Linked DNA regions of Drosophila melanogaster. The protein of the gene in region 3 interacts with the protein of the main gene of each other region in a pairwise test. Each region holds a gene or a part of one and is shown on either strand. Other genes may lie near its edges.

Region 1 (6,509 bases), on a different chromosome or scaffold from region 3:
AAGCACCTGCGAAACCATAGCGGCAGGCAGTGCTACAGATGTCTTCAGTGCAAACGTTACTTCAAATCCACCAGCTATCTTTTGGTACATCGAAAAAAAGAGCAGAGCTGTGCCAAGGCGAAAGTGGTCGCCGTATTTAGCAGACACAACGGGTTGCCCAATGGAATAAGTGATCACAGACGTTGCTCAGTTTGTTTGAAGCGTTTCAGCAGCGAGCGGGTATGCCTGCGGCACCGGAGACAGTGCATCCTCGGCCATTATAGACGGCTGTCCAAGGCCCTCGAGAAGGAGCTATGAACAGCGTATACAAATCTTGACCTAGCTGGTATTTATTAGTATATAGAAATCGATAACAATAAAGCGAATAGATCCTTCGAAAAAATTCCGCCACATACCCCAAATTTAAATACATATCCATATACATACATATTCACATAGGATCGAGAATGTAATGAGCCACAATTAAGTCCATAACTATTGCTGAAGAAATTTATGTGTGCCCTCATTGATATTAAAACAGTTTTCTGTTAATCATTTTAGTATTTTTTTATATTCAATGTTTCGTCAAGTTTTTTGTTTGCTTTTGTCTTTGGTTTTCTTGATTTTTATTCTAGAATTATGTTTTTTTGCTGATTTTTTTCATTATTTTAAACTTAAATGAAGCATAGATTATTTATATAAATATTTACAATGCTCTTTGCGATTATTAGGGAGTTGTTGCCGCTGCTTTTTTACTCTTGTTTTGCTTGCCGTCCTTATCTGCGTCCATTTTTGTTTCTTTCTATCGCGATATTTTCCATTTTTTATACTTATACTCTAAAAACTAATTTCGGGTTACTTTTCATTCATTTTGTTTTGCGTAGACTTAAGAAAAAAATGTTTTTCGCTTTTGGATGAATCTTCACTCCCCGCTCAAACTCTTCTGTTCCTCTTCTGATCTTTCTCTTTAAGGTTTTTTTTGTCTGGCTGTAGGCAGATTTCATATCGGTTTATTATATATTATTGAAACATTTAGCTTGGTAGTTCATGTTTTTTTTTTGCAGCTTTTATATACATATCTACATTTATATGTCGCAGATCATTTAAATGTAACGACATTTCTAGTAATTGCGTGTTTCTGCTTGGCGCGCCATGCAGGCGTCTTTTCTGTTCTTTTGATGCGCGACAGAGAACCGTTAACGTAGTCTGGTCGATGGTAGGAGCGGGAGGAAGTAGATGCCTGCAGGAATAACGGAAGCGTACAGAAAAATGCGGTTAAATGCATTAGTGTTTATGTATGTGGACTGGAGTGAGTCTCCAAAATGTGTTGGTAATGCGTGTAGAGTTAAGAACTACGTATAATTCTGATTTTGTGAAAAGAGATTGGGTCAGTCAGTGATCGATCATTGCGAAGAACAGACATGTCTCGCTTACGCGCCAGAAAACGTTGCGCAGACAACGAGAATAGTGAAGAGGAAGAAGGGCGTCCTGATGACTCTTCGACATATATGTATATATTTCTAATAATACGCCTTGGATGTTAATATTTCATCCCCCCGTTTGCCAACCAACCAGCCAACTGGGGGCCGCAAGGTAAATTTGTGAATGGTTAATGAAAAGTTACCCAAACTGCACGCCCATTCGAACTGAGCCGAAACTTCTTGGACTGTCGATTCATTACATTAAATGCGGGGGGTGGTGAGGAGTGCAGGTGCGCAGGTGATGGGCAAATGTCATAAATTATTTGCCTCCCCCTCCCGAGCGGGGTGGTTTTATATGTAAATTTATATAGGATATTTACACGCAACATTCGCGGCTGCGGCATCAAATATTTACACTGATTTCGGGTATTCGAAGACAACAAAAGAAATGAATAACAAAAAACAGGTGGGGAGCAGTGGGGGCGAAAGGCCAAATTGATGAACCTTGAAAAATGTGTTAAAACTTATTGTTTTCTTCGTCAGCGATTCTTGACGAATTGATATTTTCGAACTCAGCGTGGTAAAAATGGAATTTTGAAAAATTTTAACGTTCTGCGAAAAGTAGGTAATGATTAACTAGTTTTGAATACTTCTGAATGATTAACTAATACGGAATGAGCCGTATTAAGCACTTATCATCATAAAACTAAGAATTTGGTATACTCAACAATTGCCACTAAACAATCCAAAAGCCAAAATTAATGGGTCGCTATCCGTATAAGCTGATAATACCAGGGAATACCAGTTTGGCATAAACAACTTGTTGAACAACCCGCAAATAGTTTGGTTAACAACATTTTTGTTTTTCACCTTATGCGAGCGAAGGCAAGGTAAATGCAATTTTCTAGCCCATAAATTTGTTTGAGCTGCTAATTTTTTTGCACTTTCATTGTGGCCGCTATCGTTTGTTTGCCGGTGTGTGGCACTTTGTTTAAGTTTGGTTACCAACCAAGGAACGAAAACATGGTAAGAAGAAATACCCAGCGAACGAGGAAATCAAATGGCCAACGGGAATAGCCAAAACGAAATGCTTGAGATTTGTTTAATTGCATCCTGGCTGGCGTTTTTTGCCATCAACAAAAATAACAGGATGGCTAGCACTCCACAAAATGGCGTCCATCCGAATGGGCGGTGGGCGGTGGGCGGTGGTGGTTGATTCAGTGGGTGGTTCGATGGGGGACAGTACTTACGATATCCATTGGTATATGCCCGACACAGTCAGCTCACCCTTATCCTCGAGGGCGTATTCGATGAGCTCCGTGTAGGTGAACGGTGGTTTCTTTGGCCTGCTTGTTTTGCGGTGGTTGGTTTTGGATTTCAGCCACATTGGTGGGTGGTTCGGTGGTTTAGTGGATCGGCGATTGCGTGGTTGGGGAAATTCGTTGGCGGCATCGATTGGAGGACGGCATTGAAAGCAAATGGAGAACGCACAAATCAGAGAGAAAGATTGTTAAATATATTAAAAGAAAAGAGAGAATGCTATAGTCGAGTTACCCGACTATCAGATACCCGTTACTCAGCTAGTGTGAATGCGAACGCGAAATTTAATCATCTTTCTGGGATGTCGATAGATATTGGGGAATAAAATGAGAAAAAAATTTAAAAATTGATCCTGATCAACAAATTTTATATATACTTCAACGAATCTAGTATACCCTTTTCCTCTATGAGTAACGGGAATAAATAGATGTTTCAAATAAATTAGGAAATATAGAATTTAACCGTTGACACTGTCATATTGTTTTATTTCTGCAACACTTACGCCTTGGACGAAGTATCCTCGACGACAACGTGCTCGGCAACTATCATGTCGTTACCGTCCAACTCCGAGGTGACCTCCATCACCAGCTCCTCGAACTTGCGCCCAGTCTTGGTGGAGCCCACGCCGGCCACGCCCCCCGCTGCTGAAGCGCCAGCGGAGCCGTTGCCTCCTCCTCCTAATGCCGCTGGCATCGCTGCACTGGAGCAACTCTTGGGCGATCTGGCCCGTTGATCCACCAAACCCGATCCGAGAGATTGATTTGTGCTTATGGCGGATGCGGATGCCGATGCGGCGGAGGCGGATGATGGCGAGGAGGAACTGCAGGGCGACGTGGCGATCGGCACTGCCGTCGATGGTGGATGAGGTGGAGCACTGCCCTCCGGCAGATTGACCGCCTGTCCGTGAATCTGATTGTGCGGCGATAGGTGCGGGAACTCGTCGAACTTAAAGTTGAGCAGCCACGAGAGGTTCTTATCCTCGAAGTCCGCCTCGGTGGCTTCATTGGCCCCACTAACCGAACCGGATGAGGTGCGTCGGCCCGCCGACTGTATCCGCTGCTTCTGCGGCACCAGAAAATGTTGATTCTGATGTGGGTTCTGACCAGGAATGACATTCTGTTGTGTTGACTGCTGCGTATGATTGGATGCATTTTGAGCTGATGATGATGTTGGTGGTGGCGGCGGCAAAGTGGCATTCAATTGCCCCAGTTCCGCCTGCAGGCCGGAGTTATAACGATGATCCAGCTCCAGCAGCTCGCCACCGGTCCAACCACCATTGTCATCCAATGGAGCACTCGATGGTGGACAGTGCGAATAGGCGACGGCGGGCACCAGAAGACTGCTCTCATAGGAAAAGAGATCGTTGATGAAGGACGTCGAGGATTGGGCGGGTGCAGCGTTGGTTGGCGGATTACTAGGTGGCTGTTCCAGCTGCAGGTGGAAGTGCAGGTCCCCGGCATCGTAGTCCAAGTGTCGCTTCTTCCAGGGATTTGCCCCGATGGGCTCGTAGTCGTGGCCCAAAGCCAAATCCTCCTGATCGTCGAACTTGCGCTTAAGAAAGTTGTAATCACCGGGAAGATTAGTGTTCGTATCATTTTGATTGGTGGTACTGCTATTGTTGTTGTTGTTGCTGCTGGGATTCGATGTTGGGCTGGATGCACTGCCCGTTCCATTGACGGGCATGTTGACAATCATGATGTCCCGGCTGTCTCGATTTCAATCACGTTAGCCAAGCCAAAACACACAACTCACACTTGGCGAAAAAGAGCAAGTAACACGAAAAAAAAATTGACCTGCTTCGTCTGGGGGACGGACGAAGGATATTTCTTTCTTTATTTCTCAATCTTTAGTTTAGTCAAGAGCGGAAATTGGGAATTAGTCGGTCCGCACTGGCTAACTGGCTAACCGTCTCGCGCTGCGACTGGCCACGGAATGCGATGGGCCGCCAGGAGTCCAGACCAACTTGGCTGTTGGGCTGAGCTGCGCCTGCGCCCTCCTGCCACTCATCCACATTCACATCCACCACCCCGGACACCCAGTCATGCACATAAGCGGTACGTCTGCAGTCGATGGAAAGAGGAGCCGTACCTGTGATGGCGCAGGTACAATAAAATAATGCAGACACTTCACTGTATTATATTTGACATATTCGTTGATATATGTTTCAACCATATCACCTGCTTATAAATATATATTTATAATTTATATATAAATATGAAAAATATCAAAGCAAAGAAAGCTGTCATAGCTTCTAAATAATCAGTCGTGTACGCTGTACCAAGCTGAGTTTAAAAAGCAATCAAGTACCTCTAGGTACAACCACCCAGGTCTTGGCATCGCTGAGCCCAGGTCATGTGCCGCTGGTTCTGCTTGGTCGCTCGATTTGGCCATAATCGAACATGTGCGCCAAGCTGTCCGTTAGCCAATTTCGCGCTGACATGGGGCGGGGTGCGGTAGATAGGTTCTGGATCCAGGGTGCAGGGTGCAGCCATTGAAGCGTCTAATCGACGCTTTCATACACCATGCGTACCCAATGTCCTTCATACAAAGTGAGCAACCCACACAGGTGATGCGCCGGATAGTTTAAGGGACTACGGCTCCATCTGTCCAACCCGCTCGAAAAAAAAGCAAAAGTATCTCCCCTTTTACCCGTTTACCAAAAAATATGGACATTAGCAATTCGGGTTCTTGTTGATTCGTTTATTTATTTCCATTGATCACTGGTTGAATGAGTGTGTGAATGAGTGTGTGAATGAATGGGCGATTGCTTTCATGTTGGGGGGCTAAATGCATTTGCTTACAATATGATTTAAATCCTACTCAGTACAATTTTGTTTGACCAAATGATGCGATTAGTTTTATCCGTTTCTTCGTTCTCGGTAATTTAGGCTAATATTATTGAACATATATATATTTTTTATTTTCTTTTGGTTGTTTCTCGAGCTTTAGTTCAACTAGATCGATCGGCACCCTTGAATCTGACTTGACGTCTAAACATTTATGTTTTGTTCGTCACAGGACAATCTTTTGATTTACCTGTGAACTGCAAATGTGATAAGTTTTTAAGCATATTCTAGCTCCTTTGTATAGTTTCATTTGCCACTTTAATGGCCGCAAGTATGCTTTTCAATAATATGTGAAGAAGCGTCTCCAGCATCTCCAACATCTCTTTCTTCTCGATTTAAATAAATGTTGCTTATTCTTCTGACTGCTTGTAGTATTTTGAATATTTGAATTTTCTCCATTGTCGCCCGTTCTTTTACGTGTTGGTTAAGTTAAAGCTTAGGAAATGTTTGTTTTTTCTCAGCTGCAAAAATGTGTAAGGCAGCCGCTTTCCCTTTTGTTTTTCGTGTAGTCCATCTTCTTCACCGCACTCTGTTGCTTTCTCTTTCTTTGTTGTTTTGTAATCTCGCTCGATTTCGTGTAATTGGTTGTTAACTTCTTTTTATCGACGCATGTTTCAGTCTTACTACTGCCCCATTTCTAAACCTTAGTCCAAACCGTCATCGACGAAGTCGGCGGAGTCCTTTTTAGGCTTAGGCTCGCTCGGCTTTCCAGCCTTTTCACCCGCTTGGCCAAAGGCAGCACCCACATCTCCACCGGGCACAATCTTCTTGATAAGGTTGTATATCTTCGGGTTCGACGCGTACTTTGTGATGTTACCCGGATTTGACAAAATGTCCTACGAAAGTTAATAAATAACAACGATATGATTACTGCATTTGTATTAGAAATAGAAAAGTAGTATTCACGAACCTGAATGGCGGCTGACACCTCGGGATCTGACAT
Region 2 (2,628 bases), 9.5 Mb from region 3:
CTGTTAAACTATGGGATTTTTTCAGCCTGTTCACTTCGATATCAATACCACGGTTTTCCGTCTGAATTATCACAGTGCGTATGAGTAATAAGGTTTGGGCTTTAGATAAACGTTTGGCAAAGAAGCATTGCGAGTCAGAAATTATGTTAAATGAGCAGACTACTAACTTTGGAAAAAGGCACTCGCATTCGTTGTCCGACTCCCGCCCACATAATGTCCCACTTTGGGGACCCTCGTCAAAATATTTGGGGCGAGAGCTCCGACGCTGCGGTTGCAATTCAAGAGCCAAGAGTCATAAAATCCTTTATCAAATGAGAGCAGCATGGGCCTGGAACCGGAGTTGGCAGCACTCTTGACACATTTTCCGCTTTTATTGGCAAATTGAGAAACATATAAATAATAACTCGGAATGTGAACTAACTTTGAAATGATGTGGTGAGCATTTCCAGCAGCCAAAAAGGATTGTCCCCCTGCTCGCGCATCATAAAACTACAAATTTTTGTGGGATGTTATTAAATTTGGCTTTTTATTATATTGTGGTACTTTCGCATTGGGATTTATGTAAGACAATATGTTACCAAGCGTGTTCCCTTCGCCACAAAAAAAATGGCAACCACAGTGTGAGCCCTACACAGAGTTATTTATAACGAATCGTAAAATTTTATTGCACGAAAAAACTGTGTGAATTGTTTGCGGCCTCCATAGACATAGAAAGTTAATTTAACGTAACGAATTAGGGGTTCTGAGGTCCTTTGCCTGCGGGCACCTTCGTCTTTCACATGATGGTGCAGCAGCAACAGCATTCGCCACACTGACAGCAACAGGGGCAGCAAGGACAACAACAGCAACTGTTATCCTTGGGAGGAGGCGGCGGCGGAGGAGGTTGCACGATCACCGTGGTCGAGGGTTGGGGTGGCACTTGCACCACCTCCACAACGCGAGTTCTGTGGTCCATTTCGATTGGTTGTAATCCGGTTGTTTTCAATTATAAAATGTACTTGTTGCACCGCACGCGTTTAGTTCGGCACTGGTCATATTGTTGGGATTGTGCTATTATAGCCGCGCTCTCGGCAATCTCTGCTATGGGTGTTATCTATAGATAAAAGCAACTGGAACTCTTATCAGTGGCCAGCGATTTGTGTGAAGTACCTAGCGATTCGTTGGGGTCCCACCTTGGTTGTCTAACCAGCTTTATGATAGAAAACTACAAAATCGATAGGTTATTTATTACATGATTTTATTTATGAATTCGCTGCATTCAAGCGTTGTTGTTCAAATAAACAAAGGCCTTTCTTGTAACTTACAAGTTATGCAAAATCTGATAATATACTGATAATTTTTATCGGGTTTGCTGTATACTGTATTATCTGATGTTTATTTTTCTTGCAATTCAACAAACAACGTCATCATCATTTTCCAAGCCCTAAGATGTCTATATATTTGGTTATATTTTTATATTTTTTATCTTATACTCTATTCTTTGTTATTTACTTTTACTTGGAGTCAGATTAGCACTTTAATTAAACTCGTGTTCGGCACTCTCATTCCCCTATGACTTTATCAAATGAATGACTCACATTACACAAACTATCGGGGGAAACTTGAAACACACAAATGTCGCATAATGCCAAATGGGGCAGCTAATTATATATGCCACCTTATCTGAGCACTCAAAACTATATCCGACGACGCATTTTGCATTCAAAACCAACCATTCGAGTGGCCCCATCAGCATCAGCGGCCACATCAATTTCGGGCGAATAGTTCCTCGTTGCTATCAAATAGCGGAGATCTCAATTAAAATTTTCACCCAACACCGCAGATGGGGTATGTGTAAGGTGGTTGGTTGGCTTTTAGAGCGGCGTTACCTTGCTGAAATTAATAAAAATATATATTTTTGAGCGCCCTTCGTGCAATGGCGATGATAATTAGTGTACGTGATTCTATTTACTTCGACTGGGTCCCCAAACCTCGATGGATCCCCGTAGCATCCCCAGTTGGGAAAGGGGTTGGTTGGTTGGCTGGTCGGTTGGTCGGAGGGTCCTTTAAGGCAAGGGAATGTCCCTGTGTGTTTGGAGGGTGTAATATGATATGCGCGTAAAAAATATAGTACGTGTGTGCGTGACAATGGCAACAACGTGCGGCAGATCCCTAAAAAAGGAACGGATGGGGAACATCGGTTTTGGGGGACCGGCGACGAATGCCGGGTGTCAAAAATGAAACTACGCCTGCTCGGAATTTTAAAATAAGCAAATGAGTTTTAGCTTGATGAAAGCCAGCAACAACAGTAAGCAACAGCAGCACCCCATAAATATTTATAAACTTTCCCCTGTCATATAAATACAGGGTCATTAGTTGGCTTGCGCACCTTACGCCGGAGGTTCCATTCCCTCCTCGAGGATAATAAAAACGAACTAGGCGGCAATTTAAATTCCTCTACTAATAGAGTCGTTACTTTCCTCCGACTCCAAGAACATAACTAAAGGGTTAATGGGGTTCACGCAGATTTATTATTGGGAGGGTTGTTTAAAACCGGAAAGGGGAAGTGGGAGCACTGTTGTTTTAACCAGTGTAAAGCAACAGTTAAGAACTGCAGTAAAGGCAAAGAATCCATTAAAAATATTACAA
Region 3 (4,577 bases):
TTGCGCAATGGGCGAGCGTTCATTTGCATAGCTCGGATTCTGGCGTGGAATGGGGAAGGGGGAAGGGGGAGGGGATCTGGGGGATATGGGTGCGATTATCTGAACCATCGCTGATCGTTGGTGGTCGCTCTGGGCGAGTGCTCACTGTGCTGTGGTTAGCCGGCGGTTGTTCGCAACAAGTGGAATTCTTGCCGAGTTTTCTGGGGTGCGAACTCATCACTCGCGGGAATCCTTGACTTAAGGTCTTTCAAATATTTGCTACAATCACTCACAATGGCTTAGTAAAATTCTTTAACGTTTGTTAAGAGCAAGAGTGACGAAGAACATTGCTTTTGCATATGAAGATATATTATTGGTAGATATATTATCGTCTCGAACAGTATATATATTCCCAAATTGACTAAAATATAATTGAGAGTTGCACTGGAACATACCTGTCATGGCTCCATTACTGCCGCTGCTGCTGCTGCTGTGCTCTCTGCTGTTTTCTCTGGCCGATGTTGCTGTTGCACTTGCTGTTGCTGCTGATGTTGCTGCGGCTGCAGATGTTGCTGATGTTGCTGTTGTTGTGGCAGCGGGCTTGTGAGTCGTGAGCGGTGGCATTGGTGGAGGAGTTCGCTCCTTTGTGCGTTTTAGGGAGCCCTCCTGGCTGGTATTGCTGGCCATGTTCTTGCACACGGAACTGATATTGCTGATGCTGCTAAAGCTGCTGAGACTGCTGAAGCTGCTGGAGCGTGCCAATGCCGGTGGATCCGATAGGAATTTCACCTGCTGCTGCTGCTGTTGCTGCTGCTGTTGTGGCCGCGACTGTGCTGGCCTGGTGGTCGCCAATCTCTTGGGCGCCGGAGGCTCTGGTTCAGTCTCATCCTCGGGCTCGCCCTCCGCCTTTAGCTCAGCCTCGAGCTCGTTTTCCAAGTCCGGCTGCACGGTGGCTATGATGGTGCCGTCCTCGTTGGCCTGCTCGAAGCAGACGTCCAGCAAGGTGGCTCCGCCACCGGCCTGTAGGCCGGCAATATCCTTGAGATCTATCCAACTGGCGCCCAGCTTATCAGCATCGCTGAGGGGCAAGCTCAGTACTCTCGTGTCGCCCTCGTCCACGATGTGGAAGGATTGCGTGGGCTCGATCTTGACGATGATGGGCTGGTTGGCCAGGATTTGGGCGGGTGGCGCACTGCCCAGCAAACTGGCCATGTTCTCCTCCTCCTCGTCGGCGGCCTCCAGTTCGCTGAGCTGCTGCTCGATCTGCAGGTAGGTATTACTGCTGGAGTTGGCTGCCACACCCGACTGCTGCTTCAGTACGTCCAGTTTGAGGACCGTGCACTTGTCGGTCTGCTGGTACTGGTGCTGCTGCTGGGGTCGTGGCAGCAGTGTCAGGGCGGGAGCACCCGATGTTCCAGAACCTTCCGTTATAAAGGCCAATGGTGGAGACGTGCCCGTGGATTTGGTGGACACACTCCGCGACGACTGGATCAGCTGGGGCAGTGCTGGCGGTGCTCCTCCACTGCCGCCAGTGCCAGAGGCACCGCTACCACTGCGTGCCACAATGGTGGTCGAGACGGGCAGCGGGATTATTGAGATGGAGGGCACCTTGCTGCGCAGATTGGCCACCGCCGCTGCTGTGGCGGCATCGGTGCCGATATACGTTGGACCACCGCTGGAGGATTTGCTGCCGCCGGCGGGCTTGGCCTGCTGTATCAGCAGGAGATCTCTGGGCCTATCCGTTGTGGCGGCCGTTTACTCACAAAGGCTCTCAAATGTCCGGATTTCGCCTTCGCTTAAAACACTAAACACTCACACTTTCACTTGGTTCATTGCTTGAATTTCTTGGGTTCTTTTATGCTTGTATTTGTTACTTGTTATATTTGGTTTTTTTTTTGGGTGTAGAAGCACAACATCGAAATAAATTGAAAATCAGCCTTACGAAAGTGCACTTAAAAAATTGTCGACTAAACAAGTTCATTCATACTGCATTGCCTCGATTGCTTGTCAATTGGTGTAGATACCCCAGAGGGGGTGGCCTAATGAGGGGCTGAGGGTTCGAAAAGGGGGGGGAGTGGGCTTTTAGGGGCGTAGTGGGGTCTGCAGATGCACCTGTGCGTTTCGTTTCGTTCGGTTCGTTTTTGGTTCGTTTTGCAGCTGGAAATACGCGTCGTATACTTAACGTAACTTTGTGCGATGCATAGAGTTCGACATTCCGATTAATGCTTTCCACTTGTGTTGGTTTTTGAGTAAATTTTGGGCTAGTCTTTTCGGTTTTGGGTTGTGTTTAACTTTACTTTACTGCCTAATATGCAGCAATTGTTGCTGTGCTTCGGTGACTGAGCCTGCTTCTGTATCTGTGTCCTCCGCGTTTGCCTGTGGTCGTTGTCATCCTCGTTTTCGTATCCTGCTGCTGCTGCTGTTGTTGCTGCTGTTGCTGTTGCTGCTGCTGCTGCTGCTGATGTTGCTGCTGCTGTTGCTGTTGCTGCTGCACATGCAACGCGTCGCCGCTGGATGGCTGCAAGGCTGCGCTGCAGCATTCGGTAGTGTCAGCGCCATTGGAACCCGACCACGTCAAAACAGTTGGAAGTGTGCCTCTGGATCTGGATGTGGATGTGCCAATGTTGCTGTTGATTTCCCACATCGCGGCACGCAACCCTATGCAACCACCACCCCAAGCACCACCTCCATCCTCACGGCAACAACAACCACCAGCTGTGTGGAAAGTGGCTTTAATAATCGATTTTTCAGCGGCACACTTGCGAATCAATATTTGGCAAACAGGAGCAGCGCTGCAGCTTTCCCTTTTCCTAATCGGATTTCTATCCCTTTAGCTTCGATATTAATTAAGCACTGTGTTCAATTTTGTTTCACTTTTGGCTGGTTTGTGGATTTCACTGTTTCAATATTTGTATTTTCACTTTCAGAGATTTGTGGCTAAATGCACCGCGCGCGTTTTTTTGTGACTCCTTTTTGTCGATTTTGCGAAGCAGCTGACCGGAGCTGCGTCCTTTACAGGAATGTGTCCCAAATTCGAGTGCCACAAACACAGTTCGTTCTGCCGCTGCACAAACTTTCCGTTTCGTGGGGGTTGCGCCTCAGTTTCTGGGAAAAGGAAAATCCGAGTGTGTGTGTGCGTGTGTATCCGCATGCAAGTTGAAAAATGGGACTCGCTGCGAACTGCTGCGAAAATAGGGTTAGTAGGCATAATGCCAAGTGCATAGCCAGGAAAAACTGGAAGCCACAACACGAAGGAAAACGAGCACAGTCGAACGAACGTTTGTTGCGCAGCTTTTCCACCCCTAAAACTCTCAGTGGGGGCGGGGGCGGGCTAAGGGCCAGGAAAATTCCCGTCGTGGTGATAAAGCGTCATGGGAAATTTCTGCACGCTCGAGGTGGAAATTCCAAGGGCGGAAAATTTTGAATGAGTCTTCTGGGCTTGACTTTCGACATTTACTCAACTAACAACTGAAACTGCCATTTATAATATTTGTAAAAATTCATAAAATTAGTTAATAAAAAATCAACTATGATATATATTTTTATATATACATGTTTAAAAAGAAACATATTTGGTAAACAAATATTTTCTTTTGTTATGCATTTAAATAGTGCATAAGATATGTAATTCATGGTTAACCCCTCGTTTATAAACCAAATTTGTAGAACACGGATAAACTATAGATGCAGTAGTAAGTCATTATATATACGAAGTCTTGTCTACTACAAGCTGTGTAAAGATAATATACATGTATTTATAATTATATAGTATGTATATAAAAAGCTTTAAAGTGTCATAAATAGTATGAACATTGGCACATATATATTTTTAAATGAGTCATAAAATGCGCATTTTTAGTGCTCTCAAAACTACAAGAATGCACTAAAATGTTAAGCTCGCTAATTAAAGCTGCCAATGCCAATTTGGGCAAAAACCAATCAAAGAACAGCTATGACCACAATGACCCTCGAGTCAAGAATGCCCAAAAAAAGGGGCGAACCGAGAACATCTCGGCCATTGGCCAACAGACGGGGCAAATTTGAACTAATCGCCCAACTGGGCCCCAGCCCAACCGATCGGATCGAGCCATCATTAGGGCGGGGAGGGGAGTGGGGGAATTGGGTGGCATAGGGCCAAACTTCTTATAGAGGAGGGTCGATGATGGCGAACGGAGCGACCACCGTTAGGACGGATTCGGATTCTGATTCGGAGCCAAGACTCAAGCATCGGCATTAATATTTCATGTTTTTCCGTTGCTTAAATCATGTTAGATTTATTCTGCGCCGCATTCAGCTGCCGCTTGCGCAACAACAATCAAGAGCTAACTGGTAACTGGTAACTGGTTGGTGGTTCTGCCAACCAGCTTACTAGCAGCTTGCAGCTAAACTTGGCTAAAACACCGTTGGTTCTAACGTGAACGCGAAATGTGTGCCTCACCGTTGTAAACTTCTTGCGGCGGCTGTTGCCTCATCATCTATTGCAAGTCTGTGCCGATTCTAACCTGTTTTCTCTGCAGAAACTCTCCGAAAAAGTCCCGTAAGAAAGTCCCAGTTATTCAAGAGGAAAAACCTGTTACACGCAACTGGCTCAGAGAGCT
Region 4 (5,052 bases), on a different chromosome or scaffold from region 3:
CACTCGCGGAAAATAATTAGAAAAAAACACACGAGCGAAAACTGTTGCACATAAAAAAAGAGAAGAAAAACACACGAACAATATCCACACAAAGGCAACGCAATTACGCGAATTGTAATGAATTTTTGCAAACGAAAATGTAACTGAAATTAAACGAAATGGAAATGTCAAAAAATAAAACATGATATACTATATGATATTAGAATATTTTGCAAATCTTGTTGCGTCTGCGCAGTATGGCAAAAAATAATAAAAAATAATACTATTTGAAAAACAAAACAGAAACAAAAAAAAAAAAAACACGAAAGAAGCCATTAAAACGGCGCTCAAAAACCCCCCACCAAGTGCAATGGGAATGATATTCGTTTGTATGGACTCATTTCTTATAAATATTTATAATTGCGATAAAGTCGAGAGACAGCGATGGGAATGAGGATAAGGCGCGCTAAGAAGCTAGACAGTGCGTTTCGTCTTGTTAAGGTCTTGTGTTGTGGGTTTTTAATTACATGAAGTGCAGACTTCTCTTAAAAAAAAAAATCCACTTTAATTTTAGAACAAAACACTTATATAAGCTTAATAAATTATATTCGTTTCAAATCGTAGCTATATAAAGGAGATATATTGCTTATAATACTTAAAATAAAATCTAACATAACTTACACTACGTTTATAACATTCTATAGTGCTAACAAAACATGTCATCTATTCAAGTTGAATCTTAAAGTTTTCCAATTTCTTTAGCGTTTTTTTTTTTTTGCCCAATTTCCTGATTAACTAAGCTAAACAAAAAAAAAAAGCGATGATTAGTTGGCGCCTCTGGTGGCGCCGGAAGTTCGAGAATTTTCTTCTTGCCGATTCTATTCGCTGGCGACTTCTAAAACTGACCAAGCATTTAGTTAACTTACTTTTCTTTTTGCCAATTTATTGATTGGCTTACTATTTATTTCTTTATTTTTTTTTTTTTGTCTCTTTTTGCTTTGTCGATATATGCATTTTATTTTTTGCCAGTTGTTGTGGCCCAGAAAAGTGCATTTCCATTTTACATATTTGATAACATTCAGCAAATTTTTCCAAAAGCGCATCCGGTTCAAACGGGAAGTGCTACAGTCGTCGCCAAAAGAGCGGTTGATAAAAAAAAAATATATATATATATATATATATATATATATATGGAAAGGGTAACAAAACTGATTCGTGAATAGAGTTATGTATACGTCTGGGTGTTTTATTGCCATTTTTTATATCAACTAACTTATGTTTATCTTCACACTTAACTATAGGCATTACGATTAAGTTCTTTATAATCAGCAATAACTGAAGTCTGTCTGAATAATAATATACAAATATTATATATATATAATCAAAAATATTATATCTAGCATACATTTATAGTAGCAATGACCCTAAAGTGTATTTCTTATCAAAGTTAAATTGTTTAGCACCTTATTTTAGTTAAGTCACCAATGGCTAGTAATTTTGCAAATATTTTATTTAATTAACGCCGTTTTTTTTTTGCAATTCAAAGTTATAGTTTATTCAAGGCTTCTATGGACAAAATTAATCGCAAACAAGTTTTTGTCCAACACTTTCCATTCCTCTCACTTCACACTTTTGCTATTAATCCATTTATGGCCAAAATTCATCCAAACCTAACACTTTTCTTATCGAGTAGCACTTCGTGTTCGATTTTTGACCCACGCAAACACTTGATAAAATAATATCGCAAACGAAGTGCCAAATAAATGATTCGATGATTTGAAAAATTGTTTGAAAAGTAAAAAAAAACTCACCATAAACGCCAAACACCGCAGTTTCAAAACTTTGTTCTCGTTCTTCTTCTTGTTGTTGGTGTTGTTGTTGATGCCTTTGCCGCAGTTGTTGGTTTTGTTGTTGTTGATGTTTTGGGTGAATTTCTTGTGGTTGTTGTTGTTGTTGATGTTGTTGTTGCACTTGCTGTTTGCATTGAATTAAATTTGACTTGATTTTTGTTTATTTCCACTTTTCTGTTTTCTGCGGTTCGCACAAATTTTTCACTTGGAAAAAATTGTTGTAATTTTGTTGAAATCAAAGAATTAAGGTGCAAAATAGGTTTAATTTCCTTTAACACAACCTTAGAGCATGTTTTTTGTTTAAATTGTTTGCGTTTTTCTATTTGAAATGAAATTGTAGTTTTTGAGATGGGGAAAAAAACACAAAATAATTGCGGGATATTTTTCGGTATTTACTTTAGGCTGTTTAGATTTCGAAAAATGCTCCAAGTCCAAAAAAGTTGTTGTAAGTTTTTCTAAAGTTTTTAGCTTGTTGTCGCTTTTGTTGTTGTTGTTGTTGTTGTTGTTGTTGTTCACACACACACACGTGCAAAGCCGCCTTGAGTTGTTGTTTCATTTGGTTGTTGTGGTTGTTGTTGATGTTGTTGTTCTTGCGGTTGTTGTTGCTGCTGCAGTTGTTGCCCCTGTTGTAGATGTAGTTGTTGTGGTTGTTGCATTGTTGAAATACAAAAAAATTACGCTTAAGGATTTTCTTGCTTCTTTTGTGTGGTTGTTGTTGTTGTTGACTTTGTTAAAAACTTTCGCTGTTACTTCATTTATTTGTAATTTTTTATTTTATAATAATATATTTATAAAACATTTTTGTTGTGTTTAAGTTTATGCCTGGGAAAAAGTATACAAAAACTAGTGTTAGAAACCGACGCAGAGCACTTGAAAAAAATTCAAAAAAAAATTAATTTCATGAATGAAGGACAGAAATGAATGCAAAAGGACCTATTACTCGAAATTCGTGTTTCCAAAAACCGCGCACAAAAATAAAGAAGAAAAAAAAAATAAACGATAAAGAATCCAAAATATTTTCCGTACAAATATTCGTAAAATATTTGAATATTTTGTCGCTTGGCAAAATGTAATTTATTTGCTGTTTGCGGCTAAGGCTAACGAAAATAAACACGAACGAACGTATGAAAGTGTCTGCAAGAACTGCAATCGCATCGCGTGTGAAATCTCTGCGAAAGTCCAAAGCCGACAGAGCTGCAAAACCAAAAAGCCTGGCCAAAAGCCCAAAACCCAAAGAGCATTGGCGTTGGCAGCGCGGCGGCAGCGCTGCGACTGCGACTGCGTTGCTTCGTATTGCCGAGTGATTCCCGTTCGCCTATGTGTGGGTGCCCCTGCACATCGTAGTCCATACGTATGTGTGTGTGTGTGTGTGTGTGTGTGTGAGTGGTGTGTGCTTGTACTAAGAGCGCCGCACGCGCTTCGTAAAAGAGCAGCGTCGGTGAAAAACGCAGCAAAGCTGAGCCAAAATGCACCTCGTTTCCCACCGCGAGTCACTTTTTCTCTTTCACTCAATCGCAGAAAGTGCACGGTGCGGCGCTCTCTCTTTTCGCTCGCTCGCTCTCTCTCTCTCTTCGCAGTGGACAACGCAGCGTATGCGTAATCTGTACGAGTGCAGCAACATATCATTCAGAAAATAAAACCCACAAACACTCACACAACCGTCTGCCATATGTTTCCCGAAAGTTTTTGGGGTTCAAATAAAAGGACAAAGAAAGGTCCAACAAATTAATACGCAGGACAAGAACTCTAGTTGAATGTGCATTATTTTTAATAATGCCATATATGCCCTCAAATCACTCAAATAAAATTGAAACTATCATTTTTATCAATCTTAAAACGGAATGCAATCTGATCGATTTTAATGGTTTGCAAGAAAAATATTAAAAACTGATAAATTCAACAAAACAAAAAAAACAAGGTTCGAAACTATTCTTTTAAATTTTTTATTAAATTCAATAAATTTGCTTTAATAAATCTAACAAGTTTTAATACATTTTCCAACAAAAATGATGAACTTATCATTTTTAAATAATTATGTTTATTCACTGGTTTAAAAAAAAGTGCGATTTTATGTGCATGCCACAAAATTAGTAGTAAAGCACATGAATAAGGCTAAATGAAAAATGTGGCAATTCGTTTTAATTCATTTTCATACAAAATTTAAAATCGAAAATTGTAATCTTTAATTACAATTACTTTCACACTAAAACCTTAAAAGTTTTAGTTGAGTATAATACAAATACATTTAAAATTGAAGTATGGAAATATTTAAACTTTAAATAATACAATGCAATTGCCAAATTGACATAAAAAAGAAACAGTAAAAAAATCATTGAAATATCATTTAATATTTAGAGTTCTAATATGCACTAAAAATTCCGCTCAGAATATTTTCAACAGAGCTCTGCGATATTCCGTCGGCAATTTCTAATCTGATGTCTAAGCTGCAGTTTTTTTTTTTTTTTTTTTTTTTGGGTTTTTTTTTTGGCACTTGTTAATCAATTCACAAATTCAGGACAAGTGACAATTTAAGAAAACACATTACAATATTAGTTACATATTATTTTTTGAGGGCCTGTTGCAATAAATAGCCACTACCTAGCTACTAAAAATTTGCCTAAAATATTTATACACTTAATTCGGAATTGACATTCTTTATAACTGCAACTAACTTCTTAAAAACATAGTTTCAATCCTTCAAAACACTGGATATTTGAATCTTTCCTTTCGTGGTTTCGAAATGTTATTATTAGAACTTGTCAACACTTGTAAATAAGAATGAGTAAGCACACAAATTCAAACATAAAATGGTGTACAAATGAAACATGAAACATTATGCATTTTCGAAATGATAAACAATATCCTTTGAATGACTTTAGTTGTCCTTGGAAAACGCAACATCACTAGTTTCCCTCTTAAGACTTTTAACTTGGCTATGCATGATTAAAATCCTTAGAAAAACACATGACCTTTTGGGGCACTTAAGTGATCCTCAACAAACACAAAATACGAAAATTCTGTAATTTTTTGTATATTATATATATGTGGTCCTTCCGGTTTTTCTAGCACTTTGTCATAAACACTTTTTGAGAAACAGCACAATTTGCTAAAATCAAAAATAGTTGCTGCTGCTTTCACTTGCAATATTTTATATTCAAAAAAAAAAAAATTCTTAAAAACACTTGAAAAAAATAATGAAGTTACGCGGCGCGATGTTGGATTT

What was found.
Region 1: the proteins of Hr3 (region 3) and Crg-1 interact in a two-hybrid assay, tested with the Drosophila melanogaster proteins (one large-scale study listed by BioGRID).
Region 2: the proteins of Hr3 (region 3) and CG34198 interact in a two-hybrid assay, tested with the Drosophila melanogaster proteins (one large-scale study listed by BioGRID).
Region 4: the proteins of Hr3 (region 3) and mamo interact in a two-hybrid assay, tested with the Drosophila melanogaster proteins (one large-scale study listed by BioGRID).

What each region holds. Positions count from the first base shown.
Region 1 is NC_004354.4:3,791,370-3,797,878, reverse strand, and holds Crg-1 (circadianly regulated gene), read right to left. Parts: upstream 4,657-6,509; 5' UTR 4,473-4,656; intron 4,416-4,472; exon of another isoform or gene 3,219-4,415; intron 3,017-3,218; 5' UTR 2,788-3,016; coding exon 2,651-2,787; intron 1,220-2,650; coding exon 1,012-1,219; 3' UTR 540-1,011; downstream 1-539. Other genes in the region: HIP-R (Hsc/Hsp70-interacting protein related), read right to left, coding at 6,211-6,402, 6,477-6,509.
Region 2 is NT_033778.4:19,681,945-19,684,572, forward strand, and holds CG34198 (uncharacterized protein), read right to left. Parts: upstream 1,034-2,628; 5' UTR 956-1,033; coding exon 776-955; 3' UTR 502-775; downstream 1-501.
Region 3 is NT_033778.4:10,231,590-10,236,166, forward strand, and holds the start of Hr3 (hormone receptor 3), read right to left. Parts: upstream 3,019-4,577; 5' UTR 2,624-3,018; coding exon of another isoform or gene 2,285-2,623; 5' UTR 1,723-2,284; coding exon of another isoform or gene 1,192-1,722; coding exon 435-1,191; intron 1-434. Other genes in the region: CG12912 (uncharacterized protein), read right to left, coding at 2,285-2,623. UniProt on the Drosophila melanogaster protein: Putative receptor whose ligand is not yet known.
Region 4 is NC_004354.4:13,983,424-13,988,475, forward strand, and holds the start of mamo (maternal gene required for meiosis), read right to left. Parts: upstream 3,020-5,052; 5' UTR 2,948-3,019; intron 2,652-2,947; 5' UTR 1,791-2,651; intron 1-1,790.